Linked DNA regions of Drosophila melanogaster. The protein of the gene in region 1 purifies or fractionates together with the protein of each later gene. This does not show direct contact. Each region holds a gene or a part of one and is shown in the gene's direction. Other genes may lie near its edges.

The links. Proteins that work in one complex are often made in the same cells at the same time.
Region 2: the proteins of kra (region 1) and Gapdh2 purify together in Drosophila melanogaster (affinity purification with mass spectrometry, with the first as the bait; one large-scale study listed by BioGRID). This does not show direct contact.

What each region holds. Positions count from the first base shown.
Region 1 is NT_033777.3:5,593,752-5,602,981, reverse strand, and holds kra (krasavietz), read left to right. Parts: upstream 1-1,845; 5' UTR 1,846-1,967; intron 1,968-2,410; exon of another isoform or gene 2,411-2,944; intron 2,945-3,408; exon of another isoform or gene 3,409-3,617; 5' UTR 3,618-3,628; coding exon 3,629-3,866; intron 3,867-3,937; coding exon 3,938-4,038; intron 4,039-4,204; exon of another isoform or gene 4,205-4,344; intron 4,345-4,415; exon of another isoform or gene 4,416-4,559; intron 4,560-4,639; coding exon 4,640-4,778; intron 4,779-4,824; exon of another isoform or gene 4,825-4,967; intron 4,968-5,044; coding exon 5,045-5,210; intron 5,211-5,242; exon of another isoform or gene 5,243-5,386; intron 5,387-5,466; coding exon 5,467-5,710; intron 5,711-5,778; coding exon 5,779-6,121; intron 6,122-6,150; exon of another isoform or gene 6,151-6,285; intron 6,286-6,323; exon of another isoform or gene 6,324-6,456; intron 6,457-6,472; exon of another isoform or gene 6,473-6,622; intron 6,623-6,641; exon of another isoform or gene 6,642-6,781; intron 6,782-6,859; coding exon 6,860-6,897; 3' UTR 6,898-7,618; downstream 7,619-9,230. Other genes in the region: SecS (Sec synthetase), read right to left, coding at 52-1,068, 1,120-1,249, 1,313-1,426. UniProt on the Drosophila melanogaster protein: May be involved in memory formation.
Region 2 is NC_004354.4:15,866,106-15,871,720, forward strand, and holds Gapdh2 (glyceraldehyde 3 phosphate dehydrogenase 2), read left to right. Parts: upstream 1-2,039; 5' UTR 2,040-2,138; intron 2,139-2,212; 5' UTR 2,213-2,230; coding exon 2,231-3,229; 3' UTR 3,230-3,556; downstream 3,557-5,615.

The sequences.
Region 1 (9,230 bases):
AATATTCTAAATTTTAGTCGGAAAACAAAGACGATAGTGAATATTACTTGCCTAGAAACTCATGCCCGTCTATAGTTTTATTTTGGCCAGGAACTATCACTCTTGCTCCGGAAACTCCACGCATGTGTAGCATGGAGCCAAGCTTGGTGATGCTCTTCATCTGATCCCCAGCCAAAGTGGCCAATGTTATGGCCAAGGATATGGAGTTAAACCTGCTGTCTATAACAATCTCTCCGCGTGGCTCTGCAAATTTCCTAAGGTTCTCTCTCAGGTAATTGAAGTTCTCGCCCCGCTGATCGAAAAGCAATCGAAAGCCATTGCGCCCAAGTGAGAGTAGCGTCATCAAGACATCTAGTGACTGGGAACCACTAGCTCTCCCAGCATAAGTACTGGCCACATCGTGGAGCACACTCTCATTGAAGCTGGCCACAATGGCACTACCCACTGGCACCAGCAAATTCTTGTCGCTGCTCTGAACGAAGTAATCAATGCGTCCGACTCGATTGGCGCACTCCAACTGATTAACGATTTCCTTTGCCTGCAATCCATAGGCATTATTGACCAGATGGGGAATCTGCCATTGTTTGGACAACTTGGATACTTCGGCAATGTCATCGCTGTTTCGTGGAGCAAAACAACTGGTGGTAGTGTACAGGCAGAGGATGCTATCCACTCCCAATGACTTTATCTTTTCTCGGAATAAATCTACGTTCGTGTTCAGGGACTCTCCTTTAATAAGGCAGGGGATGACTACCGGCACCAAGCCCGTTGCTGTGATGGCCTTGAAGCAGGACTTCTGATCGATGCGGGACCAGAGCACATACCGCGCCCCGGGTCGCCGCTTGCGAAGACTCTGCAGGCACAAAGTCAATGTCATGCCTGTACACATTGGCACCAAAAAGCAGCCAGCACAGCTGGGCAGTCCGATTCCCCGAATAAGGTCCAGAATCAGGGCGTTTGTGAGACGAGCGAGCAGCGTAGAGCCAGCTGCCTTGGGTTGTGCCTCTAGTAAGTCTCCAGATCTGCCGATACCATGACCGAAGTTGTAGTGACGGCGAGCCACGAGTTCTGAATGACAAATTCATTACGGGGGATATCGCCTCCTGATCCCTTACTTACTGCAGGCTATACGCGCCTCCCGCTCTCCTAAACCGACCTTATGTGGATAGTTATTGCTGTCCAAGGAAGCCAGCATGTGCACCAGCTCCTCGATACGTTCATCGGACCAACCATTTTTCGGAAGCTTTCGCTTGAAAAGAAGAATTATCCATGGAGTTATCAATTAATTTGGGTTTAATTTCGGTTTGATTACCTTTTCGAGCAGCTCCTTAAAACTGCGCTGCTTACTGCGTTGCGCAGCCAGTCCCAGTTGCAAATAGTTGTCCGGCACTAGTTTCTCTGGTATATTGACCTGCTCAAAGTTCATTTGGCTTTTGGATAATGTAAATATAAACTAAAAGTAAACAATGTCTATCGCCGCTTTCAGGTGCGCAAAAAAAAAACAGTTAAATTTTCTTACTGAGCAAGTAAGGCGGCGATGCCATATTGTTTAAATAGCTGACAAATGGACACCTTTCGATTTTGTTTAAAGTGGAGGAAAAATATATAATATATACAAAGGCGTATTTTCGAAAATAAACTCCTCGCAACGCTACTAAAATGGACTTAACTTAATTTGTTGAATTTGTTAAGGTTAAATATGAATTTTGTTAATGCAAACATGACTTTTGTGGAATCTTTGATTCCGTTAAATGTCCGGCAGCGCTGCACCATTTTCAGGTCCGGTTAGTGGGGCCAGCCAACAGCTTCACCAAAATGTTGCCACCTTTTGGACACCTTAGTGAGCTCTGTACCATTGCGTACGAAGCAGGCCACGGTCATACCGCAAGTCATCCAGAAGAAGCAGCCCAACAGCTACGCAAAAAGTTACTTTTATTCGCAGCAAAACAGATTTTTTTGTTTTAATCGTAAGTATAGGAGTGAAAAATAGCGCTAGAGTAGACCTAAGTACACAGAAAGACAAATAGGGCGAGTAAAATCGCGGTCCTGGTCATTTCTCTGGCCTTGACCAATCCTTTGTCTGCGCTTTCGTTGGAAAAGGGGTTATGTACGAACTGCGTGCGTACCTAAGGCCAGATTAGTCATCGGGCAGTCATATATTCATGCAAAAAATCATTTGGTGGCCGTCGGCCTTTGTTCGACTGTACCTTGCTCATTATTTAATAAGCGCGACAGCAATATACACACTTTGAACCCCCATCCCACATTTTTTCTCACCGTTTCCCCCTAATTTTCGTTTTCCCTGTGCCCATCATTCCGCTTTCGCCATGTCAGTGTATCGCTTCAAAATGGCGCCGAACCACATGTCTTCGTTCTCGGCTCGTCCGCTTCGTTCGTGCGCTCGTGTGTCGTCTCATTCGCTCTCCGAATTTCGTTTAACAAAGTGGTGCGAGCAGAGGGGCGCTGGATTCGAGGCAAACAACACATATACCTAGTAACCGATTGTGATAGCTGTTAAAAATAGAATTCCGGACGTAGTCTGAGCAAAATTGTTAACGTTTATTTTGAAGGCATAAAAGTAAATTCCGTTACAAAAAATTATATTTTCTATTTGCTCTCCCCTTTTCTTTGTTGTTGTGTGTGTGCGTGCGTGTCAATTTTACCGTGCAAAAGCTCGCTCATAAGAAAAGAGAGGTAAGAAAAGAAGGGATCTGCCATCTGTCTCTTTGTTTTTCGTCGACTCGAGTGAGAAGCATTAACCAGCCAGCGCTTCGTGAGGTTAAATTAAATTACATATTCTCGCACGTTCGTTAGTTGTGAAAAAGCAACAGGCACACACACACACACATACACACTACACTCGCACACGACTGATTTCAATTGATTGCAAGGACACGCGGAAGCGGCAAACACAGGGCCAGACTTAATATCCTTGGGTGAAAGCGTAAGTTGCCGTTCCTTATATGTACCAATGTGTACTTGATAGCCTAGATAATTTAATTTTTGCGTTTTCGCTGCTATGACAATTTTCCCGGCCAACTAGCACACAGTCATCGGCGCGTTTTTATGTGCACTACATGCACAATGACCTCATTTCCCCAGCGCGCTACCTAACACAAGTAACCACGTCAAAATTTCACTTTATTCTGCGTTTCTATGTCGATTTCTTGGTCGCCTCACCTCTCAATTCTTTTTATTTCTTTTGTCGACATTATCAAACTGTAAAATGCACAGTGGGTATGTGTGTGTGAAAAAGAGAGATAATTAAAAAGAGATGTGAAGTGTGCCCGTTCTCCGCTCTTGAATGTGTGTGTTTAAAGCACATGTACGCTGGCATTTTTAGGTTAAGGCTTTCTTAGGCTCAGTTTTCACTAGAGTTTCCACTTAAACGCCGGTCATAGGTGAAAATGTTGTAGTTTGATTATGAGCGCAACGAGAATACATATACAGGGAACGGTTTTCCACCGCTTGGAGACCACCTTAGTCATCTTACACTAAAATTAAGATAAATCTAAAAATGAATCTAGTGGCCATGATAATTTAGTCTGGTCAGAAATAAAAACTTACAGGGGCAAACCAAAACCGCTTCCATCTCTGATCCACATTTACCTTTGCAGCAATTTATTGTATGAGTCAAAAAACTGAAAGACCAGTGCTATCGGGTCAACGCATCAAGACCAGAAAAAGAGATGAAAGAGAAAAATATGACCCAACGGGATTCCGTGATGCGGTCATTGCTGGTCTCGAAAAAACTGAAGGCGACCTGGAACAAATCTCTAAATATCTAGACAGCGCGGGCAACAAGCTCGACTATCGTCGCTACGGTGAAGTTCTCTTTGACATATTGATTGCAGGAGGTCTACTAGGTAAGTTTTCCGCTGCAAGTAATGTGTTTAGTCTCTTCACTGACCCTTTTCCATCCTCGTTTCAATTGCAGTGCCTGGTGGTTCTATATCTCAGGATGGCGAAAAGCCGCGCACAAGCTACTGCATCTTCGATGCGCCCGAGAGCATGGAGAGCATGCGCAACCATGAGCAGGTTTGTAATCTTTTAGCAGGTCATACTTAAATTATGATTATGAGTAAACGAAAATTGGTTTGATTGCAACACAAGTTGAGCTCTTGTTGTTTTCCAAGCTAAAACGTTTATTTACTACTAAATGATTTTCTTCGGATCCACTTAAAAGTATGAAATTCGTGAAGTGGCTGCATATCATTAGAGCTGACTATAAAGTTTCAAAAATGTAATCGGTGTCAAGAATATGCAATAACAATCAACACATTTACTTGTCTTTGGTTTGTCCTAAACACTAACGTTCTGAAGATTTCTTATGTGTCAACAACTACTCTTTATTCAACACTATATATATATACTATATGCATGCAACCACTGCGAAGGTCACGCTATTGAATCAAAGTGCATATTATTAGAACCGGTTATGCATCTCAACAACTCAATCGGTGTCAAAATATGCAAAATAAAAAGCCACATTTTACTTGTCTTTATTTTGTAAAATTACTACCGCCAGCAATCTAAAGATTTCTAATGTTGCAACAACAAATACAAAAGCCTCCTGCGTGAGAACACAGTAAAATTTCACCATCCGCTAACAGGGGCAATCACACTTTACCTTTTCCAGGTATTTGTCAAGCTCATCAGACGGTACAAGTACCTTGAGAAAATGTTCGAAGAGGAGATGGGAAAGGTTCTATTATTCGTAAAGGGCTTTACTCCTAGTGAACGCATCAAGCTTGCGCGTATGACAGCGCTCTGGTTAGGTAAGTCTTAACATTTATGTTCCTGTTCCTCCTGTGCATTGCTTGCGTCTGCCCATTCGGTCTTTCAATTAGTTGTTTCGATAAACACTTGTTCAACTTGCAGCTGAGGGGCTAAAGTAATCCTTCACTTGGTATACTGACTCTTGGATGAACTAACCACATCTAAGGGCCACGAGCCCAAGGACAGGATTGCTAGCCGGCCGTCTAAACTTGTTTTGCGAAAACATTTGACTAACCCTATATTTAACCCTATTTTTGATCAACAGTCAACGGTTCTGTACCGCCAAATGTTTTACTGGTACTAAACAACGAGCACCTAATCAAGGATGGCATTGCATTGGAGTTTCTACTAGAGCTGTTCCAGACGTTCAAGCAAGAGAAGGGCATTGCATATCTGATTCAGGCGCTTAAGAAGGGTGGACTGGAAAGCAAGTAAGTTTTTAGTTGTGATTTGTTTTTAGCCCCGGAATGTTCTCAGGAAGATGACTCAATGATCCAGTTGTGCATCTTTAATTGATATTCCTAGAGTAAGAAAGTTCGACGGAGTTTTACCCAATTCGCAAATGACCTTTCGCTTCATTTGGGTGCTGATTTAATTTCGTACACCTCAATACGTCATTTAAGGTTGATTATTGAATGCGTTAACTTAAATTATTAATAATGGTTCCACTTTTTCACGTTTTTCCAGACTTATGGACTTTTTCCCACCGAACAAACGTACTGAGGAATATTTTAAACAAGTTTTTCTTGACAAAGAACTTAACGAGATCGTCAAGCTACATAAGGCTCAGGCTAGCCAGGAGGCGAAGCGTGAGTTGCAGCAGGCGCTCATCGATGATATCAACGATGAGAAGCCATATAATGAGATAACCTCAGACATTAAGGACTTCTCGCAGCGCACCAACATTCCCGATCATGAAATAATTGTTATTGTAAGTCGATGCGTAAATAATCCAACTGGATGATTTCCTTACTAAATCTCATGTATGATCTTTACCAGATTTGGTCCACCATCATGTCATTGGGCGAATGGAACAAGAAGGAGGAGCTGGTTACCGATCAGGCTGTTCGTCATCTGAAGAACTACTGCCCACTGTTGCAGGCTTTCGCCTCGACCGACCGTTCGGAATTGGCCCTAATCTTGAAGGTGCAGGAATTCTGCTACGAGAACATGAACTTCATGAAGGCCTTCCAGAAAATCATTTTGTTGTTCTACAAGACCGAGGTCCTGTCCGAGGAGATCATCTTGCGCTGGTACAAGGAGGGCCACTCAAACAAGGGCAAAATGCATTTCCTTGAACAAATGCGAAAGTTTGTCGAATGGCTTCAGTCAGCCGAAGAAGGTTAGTATGTTTTGATAAATGTTATCAGCGTGCAATTTTTGAGAATGGTCTTGTCTTAAATAGCTTGATTCTGGTACGTAATTGCAAGAGAAATTTGGGTTTTTTGCTTGCCTCGTTGATTTCCATTCACTGAACAACGTAGGCCAATGAAAACCTGGACAATATAAATATTCAAATTTTGCTTCCTTCGAAACTTTACACAGTGCACTTTTTGAGAATGGTCTTGTCCTGGATGACATTTTCATTGTACAAAATTGCAAGAGCATTTGAGTTTTTGCTTGCCTTGTTGCCTCACAAAATCCGAGCATCAAAGGCCAATGAAAACTTGGACACAAATAGCTGACTTCACCGAGCATGCTTCTTACCAAGCTTTTAAAGTGTTCCCATTATTAGGAACCAGTTTTAAAGGGTTCATGTACAGTATGCAAAAGCGAAAGAATGATTGGGTGCCCATATAACCCAATGCCGTGGTTAATTTGGCCAATAATCGTTTGGACAGCTGCATTTGTCCTAGTCCGCATGCACAATCCCCTCATAAAAGCTCCGAATGGTTGCTTCATTCGATTGAGCCAAGCGGGGAGTTGTGCCAAAGCATTTGAATGGTTGGGTGTCCAGATAACTTTCCATAGTTAAATTTGGCCAATAATCATTTGGACAGCATAACCGGAGCTGCACATCTTTTCAGTTTGTACCAATTGAAGCCCCCATACTAACATTTTGTATTCTATTCTCTTTCAGAATCCGAATCTGAGGACGAACAAAAGAATGGCGAGTAAGAACTTGGTTGATGGCTAAATGAGGATGAACACAAACGGAGCCGCCCTTTAGCATCCCCATCCAAAAATTCGAAACCAGCACCTGCAACAGCCAGTCGAACTATATATAAAACTCACCCCTATGAATTAATGTCATTTTGAAAACTCCACCTATATAAAACTCAAAAATTCCAACAAATAAAGGAGAGAGTAAAAAAAACATGCTAGAAACTAAACGTTTGCAGTCCAGTCTGATATCATTCACGAATCTACACTTAGTTCCCGTTTGCAATATACCGGCAAACCCATACTATATATGTTAATAAAAGTTTGAAGTGGAAACAGCAGCACGCTCCAAATTAATAGAGAACATCTGACCGCCAATAACGTCGACTACTACGACCTGCAGTGAGGTAGCTGGAGTTCCGCGGAGTTGATGCAACAAATAAAAAACCAAAAGAGATACCACAGAGATGCTTTGTGTGAATTCGGGGATGTGTTCCGTTTGCATGTTCGCATTATTCATCAATAAATTTTCCTCATATATGCGTTTAACAAGTAGTACTCACTCTCGAAGGATTTGCCACGGCGATGAAAGGAAATTAACAAGTTATATTTGAAAGATCAATATCATTTAGCAAAGTTTCGTCGAACAAAATCTATGGATTTACGAAATATAAGATACATGGACTTAGCACATGTATACGTATAAAACCATTAAACAACCCAAAGTATTTAACTGAAACGCTGAGAAAGCATTGTATTTAAATTTGATTGGCATATAGGGGCATATTTTTGTTTAACAAATTTAGTTGGCATTATGAGGGGTCTAACTTCAAATCAGTTTTTTAAGGTCTTAAAAAGATGTGGTCCGATTCTATATTTAAAAGTTTGACAAAAAACCAAATCCGAATGCTGGATCCCCATTTCTGCAACTTCGAATATTTTGTACGTTTATTGTTACAGACATGGCCAAATCTAGTCGTCATTCATTTGTGACAAATATTACAAGTTTTAAGAAGTTACCTTTTTTCTTTTTGTATTACTTACATTGAATAAGACATATCCCGAAAAGTATGCAGCACTATTTTGGTTCGGAAGATACAATGTTTGAGATACGCTTTACTCGTCTAGTTTTAGTTCAACGGAAAGGCATCTTCTAAAGCAAACTCGTGGTGCTTCCAAGTTACAGGAATCTGCGAGTTTAGTCCAGACCTTCTGGCTTTTTTATGTTCTAGGTTTTCATACAAACATGAGCAAGTTGACTCTGCTGATCAAGAATATGGGTGTACTTAATTAAGACTTATTTGAAGTCCTAGATTGAATTTCTTAAAATAGTTTACCCCATGTCTTGTTTTTAGGATCATTAGAACATTGCAAAAGGAAGTTGTTATACAGTTAAGTTTAGTTTTTGGAAATACTGTTTTTTATTCAACATAAATTTTGTTTAAAAGTAATTTTTCTTGCATTTTGTATTTCATGTAATGTATATAGTACTCGATGTTATATAATAACGCATATGCTACTTGTATTTGTTTGCTAATCTTGTAGTTATTCATCATATTGAACTTGGTAACTTGGTTAGAAAATGAGCTTGAAGAATACACTATGAACATTGGCGAACATGCGAATACAAGGTTCAAATTTACTGTAGCTCCTGCTCCTGTATGCTAGTCGTGTGTTTGAACATGGTGTGTTGATTTTTAGAGCCTGATATGATGGCGCAGCGTCAGGTGGAAACGGTGGCAGTTCGGCAGTCCCCTAAATTGCAAAACTAATTTCCATTTTTCTATATTTTCTTTAAGTAGTTATATGAGGGTGTGAAAGCTGCACTTGATGGTCAGGTCAACAAACTTAGCTACTTGGCAAAACTTCATCGTCGTTGGTGCATGTGTAATGAATGGGTATTAAGTGTCGCGTGCTAAGCAGTGTGTATTCTCTACTCTCGGTATCTCAACAACAACAGACATTGATGATTTTCGGGGCTTTCGTTGAGCCAGTGGCAGTTGCACAAGCGTCCGTTGCCCTCGAAGAAGCGAAATCGGGGGTTTAGGTCCATTTCGGTGCTTCGCTGAGCAACAATGCTGTGTGGTCGCATGCGCAACCTGCCAGCGGCTCTGTAAAAGGGGCGATCCACTGCCGTTGTTCCTCCTGAACGCTGCACTTGATAATTACGAACATAAACGACATAGACATATAAAAAGTTAACAAAGACTACAGAAAATAATGTACAATAAACGAGGGGAAAACTGAAATAAAAATTCTTGGACAGGAATGTATGCAAAATTTTAAAGTGTATGTATACAATATAAGCACATATCTAGACCTACTGCTCAGAAATATGTGCATATGTA
Region 2 (5,615 bases), on another chromosome or scaffold:
AATTAAATTTTTTTTCAATCAAACCACCCGCTCATTTTCTATCAACTTTAGCCTGCCACATTGTAGTCGCAATTAGTTTGCAGTTCGGGGATTCATAACGAAACTATTGCCGAATGTGGTACTAATATGATATCTTTTATATAAAAGCTTGATATATTAAAATGAACTTGATATGCAAACAATCGGTATTAATTGTAGTTAATTTCCAACAGTCATAATTGTGATATCTTTGACCAGATCCAGAGATATATCTTCTGATATAGTACGCATAGAAAGGCGAACTATCCTTCTTTATATAGAGAAATAAACATAGATAGCCTACTTCAGCTCGTGACGTCAAGAAGCTTCTATCTGTAATGGGGTTTCTAGGTTAGGAAGTCATCCTGGGATGTTAGCATAAAAGGCAATAACCCCACAAACTCGAAGGACAGTAAGACTTCCACAACATTGGCAGGTGTTTTATTCACTTTCAGGGATACTTTTCTAATCGGATCCTTTTTTTCGGTAATGTATAAATCTAGAAGTCATCTTTCAATGGATCTTAATGGTAAGATGTAAGCATTGTTTTTGACTTTGCTGCAATAATTTAGCACCAAGCTGAAATACATTTATCGTTTCAACAATATAAAGATGAGAGGTTAAAAAACAAGTGAAATGTTTGCTTATCAGTAAAACCGATGACTCACTGAAAAGGAACGAACTTTTTTGCCCAGCCCAAGTATTAATAAATAAACATGACGCACTAAAATATTTAATACTTATTCGAGAAATAATTTATAAAATGTAAAAGATAAGGCAACAGAAATGTTGAGTTCTTGTCAAATTGCATATTTCAACATTTTAATGTTGGCGCGCTTATTTGAATTTTCACTGCTATGTTCATAATTAAGGGTTGCACTGAAAACAAATCGATAAATATATAAAAAGAATGAAAAGAATAAAAAGAATGTTAAATGATTACAATATCGATTATTCAGTTTGGGGAAGGAGAAATGATTAATTTGCAGATACCTTTTTTTTTACTACAAATGATTGTATGAATAAAATACTCCCAAATTAATTGATTTTGATTATATATCGTTCGTATACATATGTTTTAATATTTATATAAACGGGATCTGCTGATTTTAAGAACATATGTATATACATGTTTATATATAATAAAAAAAGGTAAATGAATTCTGCGTGACTCAAAAGGTCACATTCACTTAGTTTTCATCATAAAGTTATACAATTTCGTTGTTATGGGTACATGGAATTTTGTGACTAACACTATTTATTACCATTAGCGTTTAAAATTCATGAAATTTGGATGCCTACTTGAGCTGTCAGGTGTTTTTCATTTTAACAATGGGATGACAACAGCACAATTGCTTAAATGAAATCATCAAAACGGATAATTTAATTACTTAGACAATTATTTCATCTAATATTGTAGTTATGCATAGAAGATATATACATATTTACATGTATATGTATCTTTGTACATATGTACATGTATTGTACAGATTAATGTCACGTACCGGCGAAACTTCAATTTGCTCAGAATATGACCTCTAAATTTTAATATTAATGAAATTGATGAATATGTATTTATGTGGGGATGTTAGGATTTTTCCATTTGCATTTACTTATGTACATATTTATGTACAATATAACCAATTGATGTTCATCAGACGTGCTCATATATGTGTATGTTTCGTGTGCCTATATATGCACGTATGTAATTGCCGGCAACTAAGCTCACAAGAAAGCTCAACTTCCGTCAACAAAATTGAGCAGGTGAAATGGCCATAAAAATATCCCAATAAACATTTGTCCGTATAAATTAAAAAATCCATATACTTTATAGGTCACTTTAACTGTCTAAGATCAGAAGTTTTTAAAGTTAAGCGTATCTTATGTACATATCTACTTATTATATTCATATAATGATGCTTGCAAAAAGTCTATTGGGTAGCATTGAGCTTTCACGTTACTGAGAGCAAAAGCTCTTTTTTATTGCGGTAGCCGCTCTCGAGCTTGACATGCACGTCCTTCATCTGACTTTGAACAATTTTTCGCCCGAGTTTTCGCCCATAGAAAGCGCTCAAAATTTCTCAGCCATCACAGTCGATTCCTTGCAAGCAAGCCGATAGGTAGTGTTTCCCTCAATTCCGCGGAAAACTTTCCAAGTACTAACTGCTTTACATATACATACATTACTTTCCAGATAAACAAAAAGTTAACCATGTCGAAGATTGGTATCAATGGATTTGGTCGCATCGGCCGCTTGGTTCTCCGCGCCGCCATTGATAAGGGCGCCAACGTTGTGGCCGTCAACGATCCCTTCATCGATGTGAACTACATGGTCTACCTGTTCAAGTTCGATTCGACCCACGGACGTTTTAAGGGCACCGTTGCCGCCGAGGGCGGTTTCCTGGTGGTCAACGGCCAGAAGATCACCGTCTTCAGCGAACGCGACCCGGCCAACATCAACTGGGCCAGCGCTGGTGCCGAATACATCGTGGAGTCCACTGGCGTGTTCACCACCATCGACAAGGCATCCACTCACTTGAAGGGCGGTGCCAAGAAGGTTATCATCTCGGCCCCATCCGCCGATGCTCCCATGTTCGTTTGCGGCGTCAACTTGGATGCCTACAAGCCCGACATGAAGGTGGTCTCCAACGCATCGTGCACCACCAACTGCTTGGCTCCTCTGGCCAAGGTGATCAACGACAACTTCGAGATCGTCGAGGGTCTGATGACCACCGTTCATGCCACCACCGCTACCCAGAAGACCGTCGATGGACCTTCCGGCAAGTTGTGGCGTGATGGACGTGGCGCTGCCCAGAACATCATTCCAGCTTCCACTGGAGCTGCCAAGGCCGTGGGCAAGGTTATCCCCGCCCTCAACGGTAAGCTCACCGGAATGGCATTCCGTGTGCCCACTCCCAACGTTTCCGTGGTCGATTTGACCGTGCGCTTGGGCAAGGGTGCGTCCTATGATGAAATTAAGGCCAAGGTTCAGGAGGCCGCCAACGGACCCCTGAAGGGTATCCTGGGATACACCGATGAGGAGGTCGTTTCTACCGATTTCCTCAGCGACACCCACTCGTCGGTGTTCGATGCCAAGGCTGGCATTTCGCTAAACGACAAGTTCGTGAAGCTGATCTCTTGGTACGACAACGAGTTTGGCTACTCCAACCGCGTCATCGACCTGATCAAGTACATGCAGAGCAAGGATTAAATGTGGAACACCAAGAACACTACCCACCCACACTCTACGTAAAAGTTAAAGATTAGGGCGCGGTAGAATGGGGTGAGACACTTCAGAAACGGCCTGAAAATGGCATCACATAACTTATATATATATTGCTCCCCGGTGGAGCATCACCTACATACATATGCGCTATGCTCTGAAATGCTACTGTTTTCGCTCTTCAATTACCAGCCACATTGGAAAATTATTAATATAATACATCCATTATACACATAAATATGTTTACTGTTGTTGAATAAAGTTTCACTCTGTGTGTAGTTTTAAAAATGCCGACTCATAAGCATTTAAATATTTATTTTTGCCTTTTTATTTGGTATAAACCGTTGAAATACCTAAAATAGTATGAGTATTACTTTAAATTGTTTTTTTCATTTGCTATATTTGGAAGTAATATATATATAACAGAAATGTGTCGATATTTTTTTTAAGTCGATTGGTTTTTGAATGATTACATAACTTGTTAAAGTTTTCAAATAATTTTAAATGAGCCTGATTCTATGGTATTGTTATCGGCAAAAATCGGGCTTTTACAGATTTCGATAAGAGCGACCTTAAACCCTTCAGTTGAAGCAATGTATAAACAGAAGTTATCGATATTTGGAGAGACTAACGGTGGCATATTGTCTGTGTAAGCCTGGCTTTTTGGATACATTTCTGAGAAAATAATGTTTCTCTGCCGATTTATATTTGCATAATTGGCAAATATAATCAAATATTTTGGTTGACTGCATCATTTCAACAGCACTTCACCATTATATCGTTATCGATATTTAATCGCTTGCTATACCGTCTTTTCGATTAATTTTCTCACACGGGCACACTAATTTTCAGAACATTTTAATACTGGCATGTAAATAAAATAATCAATTGATGAAACCTTAAAATAAAATGTGAATTATTCAACATGCAGTAGCAACAAACGGACACAAATCAGCATAAGAGTTCAAGACTTCTGGTTCTTGATGAATGTAAATGAAAGTTACCGAGTGAAAACGCCATAACTTGTGTAAAACTGACGGGGCGAACAAAGAGTATGTTTTCCGAGCGAATTTAACGATTGTGCAGTGTGTGTGTGGTACACATTTTCCCCAACGAAATATAATGAAACATAAGTGCATCGGGTAAAATCATCTCGAGTTCACATCTTACGTATGTGCGTAGTGAACATAAATCTGTATACATATTGGTATATACATATGTATGTATGTTGGAGATATACGTGCGGACGCTTTAATAATTAATATTTATAAACGGTGGCTAAACATTTCGAATATCTTTGTTAACATTATACCGTAACTTGTAATGTTTTTCAATGCAAATTGTACACATGTATAGAAATTTTAATAGATGTTCAGTTGCACATGTGCAACAGTGCGTTTCTCTATACATATGCTCATCTATTTTTGTGCATGTAATTTTAACATTTCAATGTTGTTCATGAATGAGTTTTGGAAAATATAGTCCAATTTAAATAGCGGTTAAAAATGCTGGAAAAAGTCTTGTAAGAATGTGTATTTGGCTGCAGATGTGAACTGTTTATACATACATATACATATGTACATATGGCACTGTCGTATTGGCAACTTCGTGTGTACATAAGAGTATATATGTGTGTATGTATTTTGTGGATTTAAGAGAAACGAAATATTAGAATGTAAAGTGCTTGCTTTTAATGGTTTCAAAAATGTAACAGTGGAAGTTTGTAAAAAGATTCATAATATTTCTACTTTTGCTTAACAAATTCCCTTCAAATGCAAAGCAAATGCTTGCTGTTACAGCTTTAAAATGTGATTTTCTTATTTTTCTAAGTGGGAATGTCCCATTTAGTTTCAAATATATACATACATATGTGGGTCAATGTAGCACCTACTCAAAAATCTATGTATGTACATAATATAATGGTCCCACTTTTCGTTGTTTATTTTGTCGATATGTTGCCATGTATGCGTGCATGTGTGTGCTAATTTATATCTTTTAAAACAATATCTTCCAGATAAACAACATTATTTAGGCTCGAAACAAATTTTTCAAGGCTAAACTTTCCTGCAAACATGAATAACTTTTGGGGGCTCTAGGATTTTAAGCTGGCCAATCGGTTGGCTTCTTATCAAAAACAGTAAACAATTGGATCTCGAAGACTGAATGCAATAGCACAGGTTTGTACTGGTTATTTAAATAAGGTATATGAAAAACTAAAATTAACAAGAGATTCTCTCCAAAAACATTAAAAATGCATGTCCTGCGAGTTTTTTACATGTGAGGGGGCGGAAAAGGCGTGGCCACAACTTGAAACAACTGTTAACTTTTGTTTTTCGATAACATAACATTAAAATGTTAGCAGCAACAAGATTAA